Alligator mississippiensis: one gene and its partner. The protein of the gene in region 1 interacts with the protein of each later gene in a pairwise test. Links are inferred from orthologs where the notes say so. Each region holds a gene or a part of one and is shown on either strand. Other genes may lie near its edges.

The links. The genes of interacting proteins can lie anywhere in the genome.
Region 2: the proteins of RNF11 (region 1) and SMURF1 interact in binary tests that used the Homo sapiens proteins (3 or more experiments, as listed by UniProt). The link is inferred for Alligator mississippiensis from reciprocal best matches to the Homo sapiens genes RNF11 and SMURF1.

Annotation. Positions count from the first base shown.
Region 1 is NC_081828.1:8,256,254-8,263,204, forward strand, and holds the start of RNF11 (RING finger protein 11), read left to right. Parts: upstream 1-3,949; 5' UTR 3,950-4,122; coding exon 4,123-4,245; intron 4,246-6,951. UniProt on the Homo sapiens protein: Essential component of a ubiquitin-editing protein complex, comprising also TNFAIP3, ITCH and TAX1BP1, that ensures the transient nature of inflammatory signaling pathways. Promotes the association of TNFAIP3 to RIPK1 after TNF stimulation.
Region 2 is NC_081836.1:53,529,014-53,535,859, reverse strand, and holds the start of SMURF1 (E3 ubiquitin-protein ligase SMURF1), read left to right. Parts: upstream 1-3,834; 5' UTR 3,835-3,903; coding exon 3,904-3,958; intron 3,959-6,846. UniProt on the Homo sapiens protein: E3 ubiquitin-protein ligase that acts as a negative regulator of BMP signaling pathway. Mediates ubiquitination and degradation of SMAD1 and SMAD5, 2 receptor-regulated SMADs specific for the BMP pathway.

The sequences.
Region 1 (6,951 bases):
TTGGGAACACTACCTTCCAAAGGTAAGAAGGTGTAATAGGAGATGTCAAAAAGGTATGGTGGGCATGTATACCATGTAATACCATTATACAACTCCTGTTGTTAGTGATATACACATAGTATTGAAGAGGACTTTCAAACTAATTAATGTTTTGGAATGGGGGAAAAAACCTGTACTCCATCTATGAATGGATCAATGAACCCCAAGAATAGGATGTCAGGTAAAAGAAATAACTTATGTCGCCTGTTGTCCTTGCAGCTCCCCAAAATGGTTCCTGCATATAAGCAGTGGCTACTTTTTGTGGGTTTCTATTTATTTAATTAAAAAAAAAGTTCCAGAAGACATTCACTGTCAAATTATGGCTATAAGCATTTGTTTAAATGTTTGTTTATAGACAAATAAAATTGTGAAAGTACAGTATATAGGTTGCCAATGCCACTAATATTTTCATATCTGTATCTATCTTTCCTACAAAGAAACCACCTTATTTCTAAAGACACTTCATCCTGGATGAGAAGCTGGTCAAAGGAATCCATACATTTATCACCTCCAGGTGATAACTCAAAATATCAGGTGAATATGAAGGCAAGGAGAGGCTACAGGTGGTACGTAATGCCACATTATGTCTGCTTCCCCCAGCCCCCTCTGGATCCCAGTGAGCTTCTGATGCCAGTTTCTGGTCATGGTGCTAATTTCCAAAACAATTAATGGCTCAAGTCCCAGCTGCATCAAAGATCAAATTTCAGTTTCTCAGATACTGAGCCATACTCATCTGGGACACAGCAGCGTAGAAAATTTAGGACAAAGCATACAAGAGCTGGGGATAAAGCATTCACTGTCAAGGGAATCTTCGTACAGAACAGACTTCCAGAGATCAAGTGAGACCCGAGTCTGACCAGCATTGGGAAATTTTGCAAAATTTTCCTCTTCATGAAGCTTGTCACTTGCAGGGTTAGCTGTGCACCTTCTGGTTCCTTTCTGGTTCCTCTCAGTTTATCCCTTATGCCTCACTGAGTGCAGGTTTCATACTTTTACCTCTCCTGCAGTGGTATTCTACAGTTCTCCCGTTCTTAAACTGGGCCTCTTGCTACAGATTTTCTCTCGACCATGCATATCCAACATGGTTTGGTATAGTTCAACCAACTGGGTTTAGCACCTGGAGCTTTTTTCTTCCATGAGCCCATGACAAGTGGCGAATACAGTGACTACACTGGCCTTCTTAAACCAAAACAATTTAATCCTAACAATAGGAATAAAGCATTTAAGAAAATTATTATAAAACAATAGTCACTTGCTCTTTCTTGTATCTAGAGTCCTATCATCTTGTGATGTGGGGCCAGGCAGGCCTAATTTTTTTAGGTTCCCTAGCAGATCTTGTTAGTTAGCCTGAACTGCTCAGTAGCAACCCACTGACCTCTGGAAAGAAAGGTAGGAGGCAGGATAGATTCACACCTTAAAAACTAAATACCAGTAAATCACTCAGGTATGCATAGGCTTTCATAAGCATCACCTTATTTTATCAGAAGCTATGGAAGGACTCGTATCCAGATCCGAGCATTGAACCCACATGGCAAAACAATATTTTTAACTTAGCTGGAAATGTGAGGAAACATCTTTAGAGCTATTAGGTCAAACATTGTCTTAACCACCCTGGGATGCTACATGGGTGCAGCAGGGTAGACGGGGTGGCTTATCTCCAGCCATGGTTTCACTTCCTGCTTTTATTTCTTACAACTTCCTATTAAACTAAACCAGCGGTGACCAAACTGCAGCTTGAGCTGCCTGTGGTTTCTAGGCGGTTTAAACGCAGCTCCTAAAGACAGAGTCAAAATAAAAATATTCTTTTTCTATCTGTCCAATTCTTTCTTTCTGGTTTTGCTTTTCTTCAGGTCTTGTTTATTGGTTATTCTAAGCAGTCATTTAACAGCACATATTTACGCTGGAACACTTTGCACAGATAGCTGACGGGTATGTACATCCTGAAAGTTTTGCACCTTGCAGCTCCCAGTCGTGTCAAGGTTTGTGGGTAGAAGAGTTAGGAAGTTGAGTCACCCCTGAATTAAACCAACATACCCATGCAGTAAACATCCCAATATCTAGGTCACATCAGACTTAATAATTATTGTATGTCATGGCATCGCCACATTATCACAAAGCCTTTCTGTTGTAAGTGATAATTGCATTTCAAACATATTTATTCCCAACCTGCCCATCCCCACCATAAAACCTACTGGCAGCAGAATTCCAGCAGGGAGAAGTGCTAGAGATCCCGTGAAGTCCCCTAAGGACTTTGTGGTTGCTACTGGTTTCAGATGGAAGGGACTGGGGAGACCAACCAGGCAAACTCCCGTTGCTCCAAAAAACAAATGTTTTCCCTCACCTGGGCCTGTAGCCTTGCATATTTAAGGTAAAATAAAGAGGAAAGATGAAATCTTTTATTCCACTAAAACTTATGTCATTAATAGTCGTGTTCTAAATTTGGGTTTTAAATATTCATGACCATTCATGGGATAGCCAGAAACATTTAACTGTATATTTTACTTTGCAAGGAAAAAAAAAAGTTGTTAACTACAGGGCTGGTCATACGGCGTGCCTTGAAGTTAATGGTAAATAAAGAAAGCTTGAAAGTTTGATTTACAAATATAAAAACAGCAGGAGAGGGATCCTGCTTATTTTCCCCATATGGGATGCACTTCTCGTCTGTCCTGAAACACCTTATGTGGGTCTCTGCATTAGACTGTTTTCTCTTAGGTTACCAATTGTGGGGCACTCGAGTAGACCAAATACTTTAACTGTCCTACCACGTAACCGTTCAAAGCTAAAATGGTGGTTAAAATATTGATTATATGATCACTCCTACCCTGGGAACCGCACCGGGAGATGCACGGCCGGTGCGGTGGCAATTTTACAAATGCCAGAGCGAAGGGATCAGGTCCTGACCTCATAATTGTTACTAACTCCATTTGGTCCAAGATTTTATACAAGAACGTCGATAACTCGAGAAATTGTGGCTGTCCCACGCATGGCGATGAATATTTATTCATGAATATTCAAAACCCAAATTTAGGACGTGAATATTAACGAACATACGTTTCAGTGGAATAAAAGATTTCATCTTTCCTTTTTCCTCTACTTTAAACACGCAAGGCAACAGGCCCAGGTGGGGGAAAACATTTTTATGTTTTTTTTGGAGACATGGTTGTCTCCCCAATTCTGTTTATATGAAATCAGCAGCAACAGCAAAGTCCTTAGCGGTAGGGTGGCCCTCGTGGAGGACAGTCCGGTTTTCTGCTACTCCGTCCTCTACGGATACAAAACCGGACGCTTTTACGTCCTGTTTTTCTTCGGAAGAAACCCAAATTTAGGACGCGAATATTAACGAACATAAGCGAAGAGAAAAATAGAGGACATAAGAGGCACTGGGTTTCGTATCCATTGAGGAAAACCAGACTGTCCTCTATGATGGCCACCCGGCCTAGAGGCCTTGGCGGCGTGGAAGGAGCCAGCCAGATTACTTGAACGTCTTGGACGCGTCGATCCAGCGAGGCGCTCGGGTCGGTCTGGCTGACGTGGGTCCAAGAAAAGACGTCGGATTTACCCCAAAGAACCGTCCCCGATGCTTTTCGAATGACATCGCCGTGGCCTTTGAAGGGCAGGACGCCTCGCCACCAAGAGGCTTTGCCCGCCCCAGGTTTTCCCTCATCCGGATGGCCACGAAGACAAGGAGATCATGGGAACCCCTTCGAGAGGCAGACACCTCACGAGGAAGGGGCTTTGTCCGCCTCCTCGCACACAACGAGAGGGCCGAGAGGGCGATGTGGTGGAACAACCCTCCTGTCTGGGGGGGAGGCCAGGCCGGGCCGGGCCCCGATGGCGCACGGAGCCGGCGGGGGGAGGGGGAGGGGGAGGGGCGGGGCGGGGCGGGTGACCGGGAAGCAGAAGCGCCGCCAACCGCCGGGCGGGCGGGCCGCACCTGGCCCCGCCGCTGCCCTCCCGGGGGCGGGGAACCGAGTCCCGGCCCCGGAGCGCAGCGGAGCCGCGCAGGCAGGGGCGGGCATGAGCGCCGGGCCCTGACCGGAGCGGAGCGGAGCGTCGCGCCGCCGCCGCCCGGGGCGGGGGAAGATGGGGAACTGCCTCAAGTCCCCCACGTCGGACGACATCTCCCTGCTGCACGAGTCGCAGTCGGACCGGGCCAGCTACGGCGACGGCGCCGAGCCGGACCAGGAGCCGCCGCCGCCATATCAGGTACCGGGGCCGCCGGCTGTGACTCGGCAAAAGCGGTCGGGCTGAGCGGGGCTGCGCCGGGCCGGGCCGGGCCGGGGGCGCGGGGAAACCTCCCGCCGCCGCCGCCGCCGCCTTTGTTGTCTGGGCGCGGACACGGGGGGGGTGGGACTGGCGCGGGCCCTTCAGGCGGCGCGAGCCCGGGGCTCCCCGGGGGGGTTTGCGCCCTGCTAAGGGCCGCAAGGACAGGCGAGCCCGCACCGGCTTTGCCCAGGCAGTGTGGGGGCCCCCCTCCCCCCGCGTGGGGTCGGCGCCTGCCAGCCCCCCTCACAAAGTCACCGACTGCCAACCGGCCAGAGCCGCGCGGGGTCGCCGACTTCAACCGGCGAACGCCGTTCAAAAAGTCACCGACTGCCAACCGGTGAGAGCCATGCAGGGTCACCGACTGTCAACCGGTGAGCACCGTTCAAAAAATCACCGATTGTCAACCGCCAAGAGCTGCACGGGGTTGCCAACTGTCAACCGGTGAGCACCATTGAAAAAGTCACCGATTGTCAACCAGCGAGAGCTATGCAGGGTTGCCGACTGTCAACCGGTGAGCACCGTTCAAAAAATCACCGATTGTCAACCGCCGAGAGCTGCACGGGGTTGCCAACTGTCAACCGGTGAGCACCATTGAAAAAGTCACCGATTGTCAACTAGCGAGAGCTATGCAGGGTCGCTGACTGTCAACCGGTGAACGCTGTTCAAAAAATCACCGATTGTCAACCGCCGAGAGCTGCACAGGGTTGCCAACTGTCAACCGGTGAACACCATTCAAAAAGTCACCGATTGTCAACTGGCGAGAGCCACGCGGGGTTGGCAACTGTCAACTGGTGAACGCCATTTAAAAAGTTGCCGACTGTCAACCGGTGAGAGCCGCTCAGGGTCGCCGATTGTAAAACAGAGCAGTTCAAAGCACCAATTATAAAACAGTAAAAGCCATTCAAAAAGTCGCCGGTTATAAAACGGTAAAAGTGGAAATGGCAAAGAGGGAAAGAGGTTTTTAAGACGCGGGCTGACAAAGCCTTGGCTGATGGGGTTGGCGATGGTCGTGCTCGGAGCAGGCGGTTGGACATGGGGTGACCTCCTTGAGGTCCTTTTGCAGCCTTATTTTCTAGGACTGTTCTCAGGAGAAATACATCATTGAAGTGGATGCGATGGCATGTTTTTTCACGGGGAAAAATAACTTCATTACATCTTCAAACTAATGGGTCGTTGGTTTTTTGTCTTCTTACACCAGGTTTGATATAACAGCATATCTCTCTGAGAAATCTACTGTGAGATGTGTTTGAGATGTCAGTCTTGAAGGGAGATCTGATAGCTCTTTATTTGATCAGATAGGAGTCATTCAGCAGTTGCAGAATCGGCATATAATTAACCAAATTGCAGGAAGTATTTAACGGGGTAGACCTGTCATCTGCAAATGCTTTATGAAGTCAAGAATGATAGATCGGATAGGATTTTTTTTTTCTTTTTGGTGCTCAAGAGCAGGAAGTGTAGTTGTCACTGATGGATGCAGTGAGACAACAGTGCTGTTACCTGGCAGGCAGGAGTTGTTTATATTTTCTACACATGCAAAAGATACTGAATAACTGTTTTAATATAAAATCCTCCTATGAGGAACTCTTCCTAGTTCTCAATTGCACCTACTCAAGTCCAGTGAATTTAAAGGAAGCACAATGACATTATTTAAAGGACAAATCACCCTAAACGAACCCTGCACCATCTGTTCGGATTAAGAATGCAAGAATTTTTTCTGTAAATCGACACGTAATATATGAACAAAATCTAGCGGTCTATCCTATGCATTACAAATACAACGTGCGTGTGTAATCTCCAGGCACTATTTTTTTTTTTTTAACAGCCTCTGAGCATTATTATGATTTCCTCTTCAGAATGGTCAAGAGTATATTATGTAAATGTTGCAGGCCTTTCCAGGTTGATTAGAGAAACAAACTCGTTTGCCATTCAAGCTTTCTGGGAGATTTTTTCTCCTTTCTAATGAACATGTTTTAGGAACCAGGAGGGGTAGGTAGGTAGGTTGGTTGGCTTTGCTGTCTATTCTTTTTTGTCAGTTATTTAAAAGTTCTCTTATTGAGTCCTGGCAGTGAGTTTATATCAAAGCCAGCTCACTTTATTAACTATATTCACAATTCTGCATATCGGCTGCTGTGTTCTCCTGTTTTGATATTCTTTGGTTACCTTTACATTTATATTTTAAAATTTCTATTCAAGTCAGGAGAGTGTAGGGGGGGAATGGTTACTTTAATGCACCATTACTTTTTTGGTATTTCTGAACTGTACGTTTGAAAGTCAGAGGCATGGCTCCTACAGCTGCAGCTGAGTCATAATACCTTAAGGAGAGAGTGTGTGTGTGTGTGTGTGTGTGTGTGTGTGTGTGTGTATTGCTACATACAGTAATACAATACACGCTGAAGGGGACTACATTTAAAATTGAGGGAATCACTTTTGAACGATCTGATCTTCCATGCATTTACATTCCCAATCACGAGTCTGAATTCGAATTGTCACTGAACAGCTCAATTTAAAATAGCTGCTTAACGCTATTGTAGTGAAATATAAGGAATTCCATACACTTAGTGCTGTTCTTTTTGTGGGGGGGAAAAATGTCACATTTGGGCTACAAAATTGCTTGAACAGTATCAGGTTCTATGATGTAAGAGTGGT
Region 2 (6,846 bases), on another chromosome or scaffold:
TATAATCTCCCACCGGTGGTCTGGTGGCAGCAGAAGTGTTAGCACAGATTGTCTGTCTGGCGCTCCCGCCACTACGTAGAATAGCTCTGGCGGTGGCAGCAATTCTAGATGACCTGGAACTGGTCTGGGTTAGCACTTCTACCAAGACTGTCATTGGAGACTTAAGATGTGCAAGGTAACCCAGGCTCCCATCACTGGACTTCAGTTTAGCAAGGAATGCAGTTGGCCATATACCAAATGCTGCCTCATTCAGATGGCCTATTCCATGGATGGCTGCCCAGTGTCTCCCAAGACTAGATAGCCTGCTATGCCTACAGGCATCTGGCACTGCCCTCTTATTCATCCATCTCTGCTTACAGTCATGTTGTAGGTAGGTATTTCCACCTTTACTACAGCCAGTTAAACTCCAGCTGCACCAAGTCGAACTCGGTTGAAAGAGGAAATTCATGTGCTCTTCCCTAAATGAGCTAGATTTTTTTTCACTCCATTTCCCTAATGGAAGTACGCATTCATTTGTTCCAACCCTTTCAAATGACAGGAGTTAGTAAATGATCACCAGAAGGCTTCTGCCTGTAATTTGCCAGTGCAGGCAGGTACAGTGATGTACCCATTCAGGGTTATCTTCCCTTACTATAAATGACAATTCAGTGGGTAAGGGGACCTCTCCTCCAACTCTTCCTTTCCAATCCCAAATGAATTACTCTGCCACCTGAACTACACCCTTTTATTGTAATTTGCTTGCCTGGCTGGTTTTCAGCTGTGTGCAAGTGTGACTTATATTAAACATTTTTCAGAGGATAAGTTAAGCCCTAGAGTGGAGTTCAGATGCTTGAAGTATTAGAGAGAAGATCCAGACTTCATGCACTGCTTTATCAGATATACATGATCAATGAAACAAGAAACCACAGCAATACTAGAAAGTCTGAAAGATAAATCTTAAAAAGGAAGGATTTGAATGAATAAAAGCCAAGCAGTGTGCTTTACTTTGCCTATTGCACCTGAACCTGTTATCTAACTTTACAGTCCAAGGTAACTATAAATTTATGGAGTCTTCCTTTCACTGCAGCCAGTAGTCTCCCTGGAAATCGCAGCGTATTTTCCTCCCTGTTCTGCCTGAATGACATCCTATATATAGAGAGAGATTCACAGAGTTGGCTCAGCAAACAGATTGTAACATCTACAGCTATTGTACCTCCAAGTGACAATCCACAGATGAAAATAAGCAGTGAGGAAAATCTGCTATTGGGAGACAAGGCATTAGAAACCAGCATAACATATGTTCTGGAAATCAAACAGCAAGAGTTTGGGGTTAGTCATAAATATCCTTGCCTTGCTTCTCATTCCTGAATATGCTTAAAGTGATAGAACCCTTGGAGTGAAAATGTCAGGCTGCCTGGTTCCCAGTTGAGGTATGAATTAATTAACAAATGCTTTTCCAGACTGTGGAAAGCACTACACACAGGGTTATCAGCTGTGGATTGAAGGGCTAGATAGTGACATTTCATACCATGCATGAAAGAATAGGCAAAGTTCAATAAAATCTGTGGTTTAAAATCCATAGATTCTCTTCCACGTGCAAGACTGGCTGCTTTGAAATCCAGTCTGAATATACTTACAAGAGGAAAACTTGAAACAATTGTGCCTGGCCACTTGGCTGTCCCTGTGGTTCAGACACCTTCACATGCATTTCTGCTTGCCTTGATTTACTTTTTGCTCCAAAAGAGGGGGAGCTTAGAAAGTGTGCTGTCTTAACTTATGTGAGGGGTGAGCCATGCCACTTCCATCTACCAAGCACAGATGATGATCTCAGCTTAAATAGAGTTAGGAGCAAAGCACAACCCAAGCGTACATTACCCTGCTTCCAGTTCAATAAATCAGCCAGGTTGGGGAACTAGGTCATCTCCTTGCCTGCAGAAAAGAAATGCTAACATTTGCGATGCTACCATTTGTGATTTAATAGTATTTACAGAGTCTGTCGGGCTGAGCTACTCTCATGTAGCCCCTCATCTGCTCGCAGTATGTACCTAAATAGCCAGGCGTTTCAGTCTCAGTGCGACTGGGAGCATCAAAATGAGCCTGGCCCAGTGAGTCTAACATTGAATCAAGTGATGGCATGGAGGTGGGATGAGACTAAAACCACTTCTTGAGGGTGGGGTTTTTGGTTGTAGCCACATTGGGCTAAGGACATAGGCAGGCAAGGGTTGGTTTTTTTTTTTAGTAGATGTGTATATATTATACAAGTAATAATTCCCCCCTCAAGAGAGAGGCAAGGTTTTTTGAGTAATGGGATATCTTTTATTAGACCTAATAGAAGATATCACAGCTGTGTACTCAGTTGGTCTAATAGAAGATATCATATCTACTCAAGAAACCTTGCCTACCTCTTGGGGGGTGAACTAGTATTTATATTATGCTGACTATACTGTAATTATCTGGGTGGGAGCCTGAGGTAGGACACAGGGCTCTTTGGAAAGGCCCTGTCCCATCTTCCTCAGCAAAGGGTGATGCTATTGGATCTGCCATTTATATGGGGTCTGATATTAGGAAGCCCTGGACCCTAACGAGGCCGATGGCGTGCAGAGATTCATAAGGGAGGCGAGGCACCGACCTGCACGTCCAGCCCCAGTACCTAAGCATAACAGATATTTTGGGGAGTGATGTAGCCCAGATGGTTTGGGAACGATGCGAGAGTAGACTTGCCGAATCGGTTTGAATCTATTCTGGGAGGTTTCTGGAGTGCCAGCACGCCCGTGACACGCAACGCAAATGTGCCCACCTGCTTGCATATAATAATTATGGATGGCAGGGCACAGACTTTACATGGGGAAGGTGAATTCACACGACTGTCGGACTTTAAAATCTACTGGACTGCTGCGTACCTCAGATTCAACCTCGTATACAGGTAGTCCTCAATGTACAAGGTTTCGAGTTGCAACATTTTGCACTTACGACGTTTATAAATTGACACCGTTTCAACTTTCTGACCTCAGTTTTGACTTCACAGCGCTTGATCAGATGTGATGCCGCACCAGCGAAGAAGTTTGCTGCATCGCCCATCTCCTTGGAGAACACCTGTCCCAGCTTCCTAGGGCACTTCCTTTAAAAAGGCAGCCGAGACTCCCGAGAAGACTCCAGCCGAGAGCCCTTCAAAAAGTCCAACAGACTCGCCTCAGAGAAGTCCTTCCAAATCAATGTGATTGCTATTTACAGTAGAAATACATTAATGTAGCTATAGTACTCATCTATAATTGATTGAGTACAAAAGGCTGGGATGTTTTTGGTGAAAATAAGGTACCGGGCCTTGATTCGGGAACCAATCCCCCATTTATAACATTGTTTCTTATGAGAAAATCAGTTCCGAGTTGCACCGTTTGGACTTAAGATGCTGTTTTCAGTAGCCAGGTGTGTCATAAGACCAGGGACTGCCTGTATAGATTTTACATCCAGAAGGTGTGTGCACACGACGGTCGTGTGTTAAAACCTGGACCGCTGCATACATCAGATTCAACCACAGGTATGCATTTTCATGCACGCCCTATCATTTGTCTCCTGGGGATCGCATCTAATGCCTGCAGCCTCCAGACCAGCCCTGGACGGTGTGCAGACACACCTAGCGGCTGCAGCCTCCTGCAGGCGCGGCCGCCCCGCGTGGGAGCCAAGGGCTTTCTTCAGGGGGCGCAGCTGTCTTCCCGCCGGCGCCTTCCGCTGGCGGCCCCGCCCCTAGGGTGTGGCACCGCCCCCCGCGCGCGCGGACCTCACCAACATGGTGGCGCGCCGGCGTCATGACGTGCGCGGCCTGGGGGCGGGGCGAGCGCGCTGTCCTGGGCCGGGCCGGGCCGGCGTCGAGCGGCGGCGGCGGCGGCTGGGCTGGGCCCGGATGGGGGCGGCGGCCGCGGGGCTGCGATGTCGACCCCGGGGACGCGTCGGAGCGGCTCCAGCATCAAGATCCGGCTGACAGGTAGCGGCAGCGGGGCTGACCGTTATTCCCCCCCCCCCCACCACCACCCCCTTGAGCAGGCCGGGCCTGGGGGGTCTACCCGTCCGCATCGCCGCAGGCCGCAACCTCCCCGCGGGCGGCTCCTGAGGGGGGCCGTGCTGCGGAGTGAACTTCCTCGGGGGCAGTGTCCGGGGGGGGGGGGTCCACGTCCTTTGCTTTCCCTGCCCACGCCGGCGAGGGTGCGTGGCTGGGGGGCGCGCCGGCTCCTCCACGCGAGGCAGCGATCCGCGCGGGGCGAGGCTCCCGGCTTGGCAAGGCAACAGGTGCCTCCTGGAGCATCGCCCTGCCCGGGGGCGCCGTGCCCGGGACGTGGGCGCCCGCGCTTCTCTGCCGGGCGTGTGAAAGGTGGCGGGTTTAATAACGAGTCGGTGGCGGGACTGCCACGCGCCGCACGCGCCTCTGGGCAAAACCCCCCATTCTTCCCGTGGGTTTGGTTGGTCTCGGGACACACCTTGCTTGCCCCGGAGAACTAACGAATGGATTTCTTTTTAAAAAAAAAAAAAAGTATTTTGTGGAGACGGGTTACTCATTTCTTCCCTTGCGAAGCGAGCGCGTGTCGCTTGCTGGGCGCCGGCGCGGTTCTCAACTGGGGCTGGACTCGATCGGCCGAGGTCCCTCCCGGCCCTAACATCGATATAGGTTCGCTCACATACCTGTCTCTGACACAGCAGTGTAGATTTTTTTTTACCGATCGAGAAGGAGCCAAGGGATTGGTGTGTAATGCACCCGCAATCCCCCTCCGAACACGGCAGCGACAGTAAATGGGACCAGAAGTTACTTGTTTTGCCCGTTCCGGTGAATGCTGCGTCAGATGGCTTGTCTCTTCATTTTTGCTTCGTGCCGGCATGAACTTACTTTCATAGTGAAAATCATTTTGTAGAGAGCCGACGGATGTAAGGGCTAGGATTGCTTCTGTGTCCTGTTTCTCGGTAGCAGTCTTTAAAATACATTGAGGAAATATCCGACCTGGTCAGCCACCTCTTTGTTTTTATTAACAGAAATCTCTAGTTGGTGAGTCAACACGTGCAGTATTTTGTCTGCAAAAGAATTGCTTCGAGAGAGAGTTTTCACTTCAGAAACATTAGTAAACGTTTCACTTCTGACTTCCTTGGAAATTTGCTTGTTGGCTGATCTGCTTCAAAGAACTGTAGCTAATATGCCTTTTGTTGTTAAATTCTGTTTTGGTTTTGAGAGATTTGAGCTGAATTATAGTAAACGCAGACCATCTTTTGTTATGATTGACCGCTTACATCACATTTCCTATGACTGAATTTGCAGTTTGTTTTCCCACAATTTTAAACAATCTCTGTTTTGCACTACTGAACATTGCTGTGTAAATACCACTAAGATTGAAGCTGCCTCCAAGAGCCACTCCATAAATGAGATGTGAACATTGGTGTACACTTTCAGTGTTTAAGAAAGTGAACTTTGCTTTGGCACTTTCTAAAAATATTTGCATTGGGGGGTATTTATCTTATCCTGTCCTAAATTCTAGCTGCTGTGACAACAATTAAGAACATAGCTGTAGTTTGGATAGAAGATTTTGGAAGCTACCATGACGCCTAACTATAACTTAAAAAAAAAAAAAAAAAAAAGTAAATCTCAAGTCCATTTTAAAACAAAAAACCTTAGCAGCAACAAATAAGAACCAGTCAGCAGAATAAAATGATCTCACCTCGTACTCGCTTCCTAGATGCTCTCATCTCCCGTCATATGCCAACTTTCCCCCCAAGCCCTGTGCAGATAAGGCTGCCATTGTCATTGCTTCTCGTAATAACCGCGGTGAAAATGCTAATGTAGATAAAGAATACAAAATTGTTATGAGCCCTGTTGTCTTCACTGCTTGGAGCAATTTTGCAATGGTGAAACTTTTTTTTTTTTTTTTAAGTTAGAAAAGTTTCCAACAGGGTTTGTCAGTTTGCGTTTGCAAGCTGTCTGTTCACAATGTCTTGGGGTCAACAGAGGGTTGCATTTGAAAGACCAGAAAACCCTCATATATGTGCAAATAGTGTCCAATCTAACTGATAGGATTCTACCCCTGACACCCTTGCTGTTGGCTAGCGTCACGTGGAGGTGGTCTGTCAGAGGGACGGATTCCAACACAGTATAACATTTTGTTCAAATTTCACAAGCACTTGGAGACCCCAGTGAAAACTGGGGTTTCACGGTGCCAGACAGTAGCAAATAAAGATGGTTTGCACGCGATTTGGGGTAGAGACTGGGATGATAAGACAGATGATGAAGAGTAGGGAAGAGGAAGGTGATGCATATTTTTCATGTGTATAGCTTTACTATTTTTTATGTTTTATAATGAAATTGCTTTTGCCTTTTTCTAACTGCTGCCCAGCCTAGCAGTAACAGTTGAGAAGGCGATTTAAAAATGGAGTAACAACAATCTTATGGGTCAGTTCGGAGGAAAAGGCTTTGTATATGAGAGCCACCATGGAAGAAAACGTAAAGAGCTTTGTGGGAAGAATGGGCAAGTTGGTAGTTAAGGCCACTTTAATTGGCCAAAGAAAGGGAGTTTAAGACAATACTAAAACTCAAAGAAATTAAGAGCCACAGAATTAGGAAGGGCCTTGAGAATTAAGCCTGTAACTTTTTTAAAAATTGATATGAGGGTAGCAGGAGAGATCAGAACAGTATAGTTTTAGTCTTGTACAGACTGAGAAGGTATAGACATTGGGAGTATAGGTAGGAATCCTTGCCATCCTGACATGAGGAAAAGGTTAGATTTAGAAACATTCTGGAGGAACAAGCCTTCAGATTTGGAGGAAACCTAGACTTATTAGATAAAAGGAATCAAAGACAATGCCTAGGCTATAGGACTAATTTTATAGAAAGCTGGT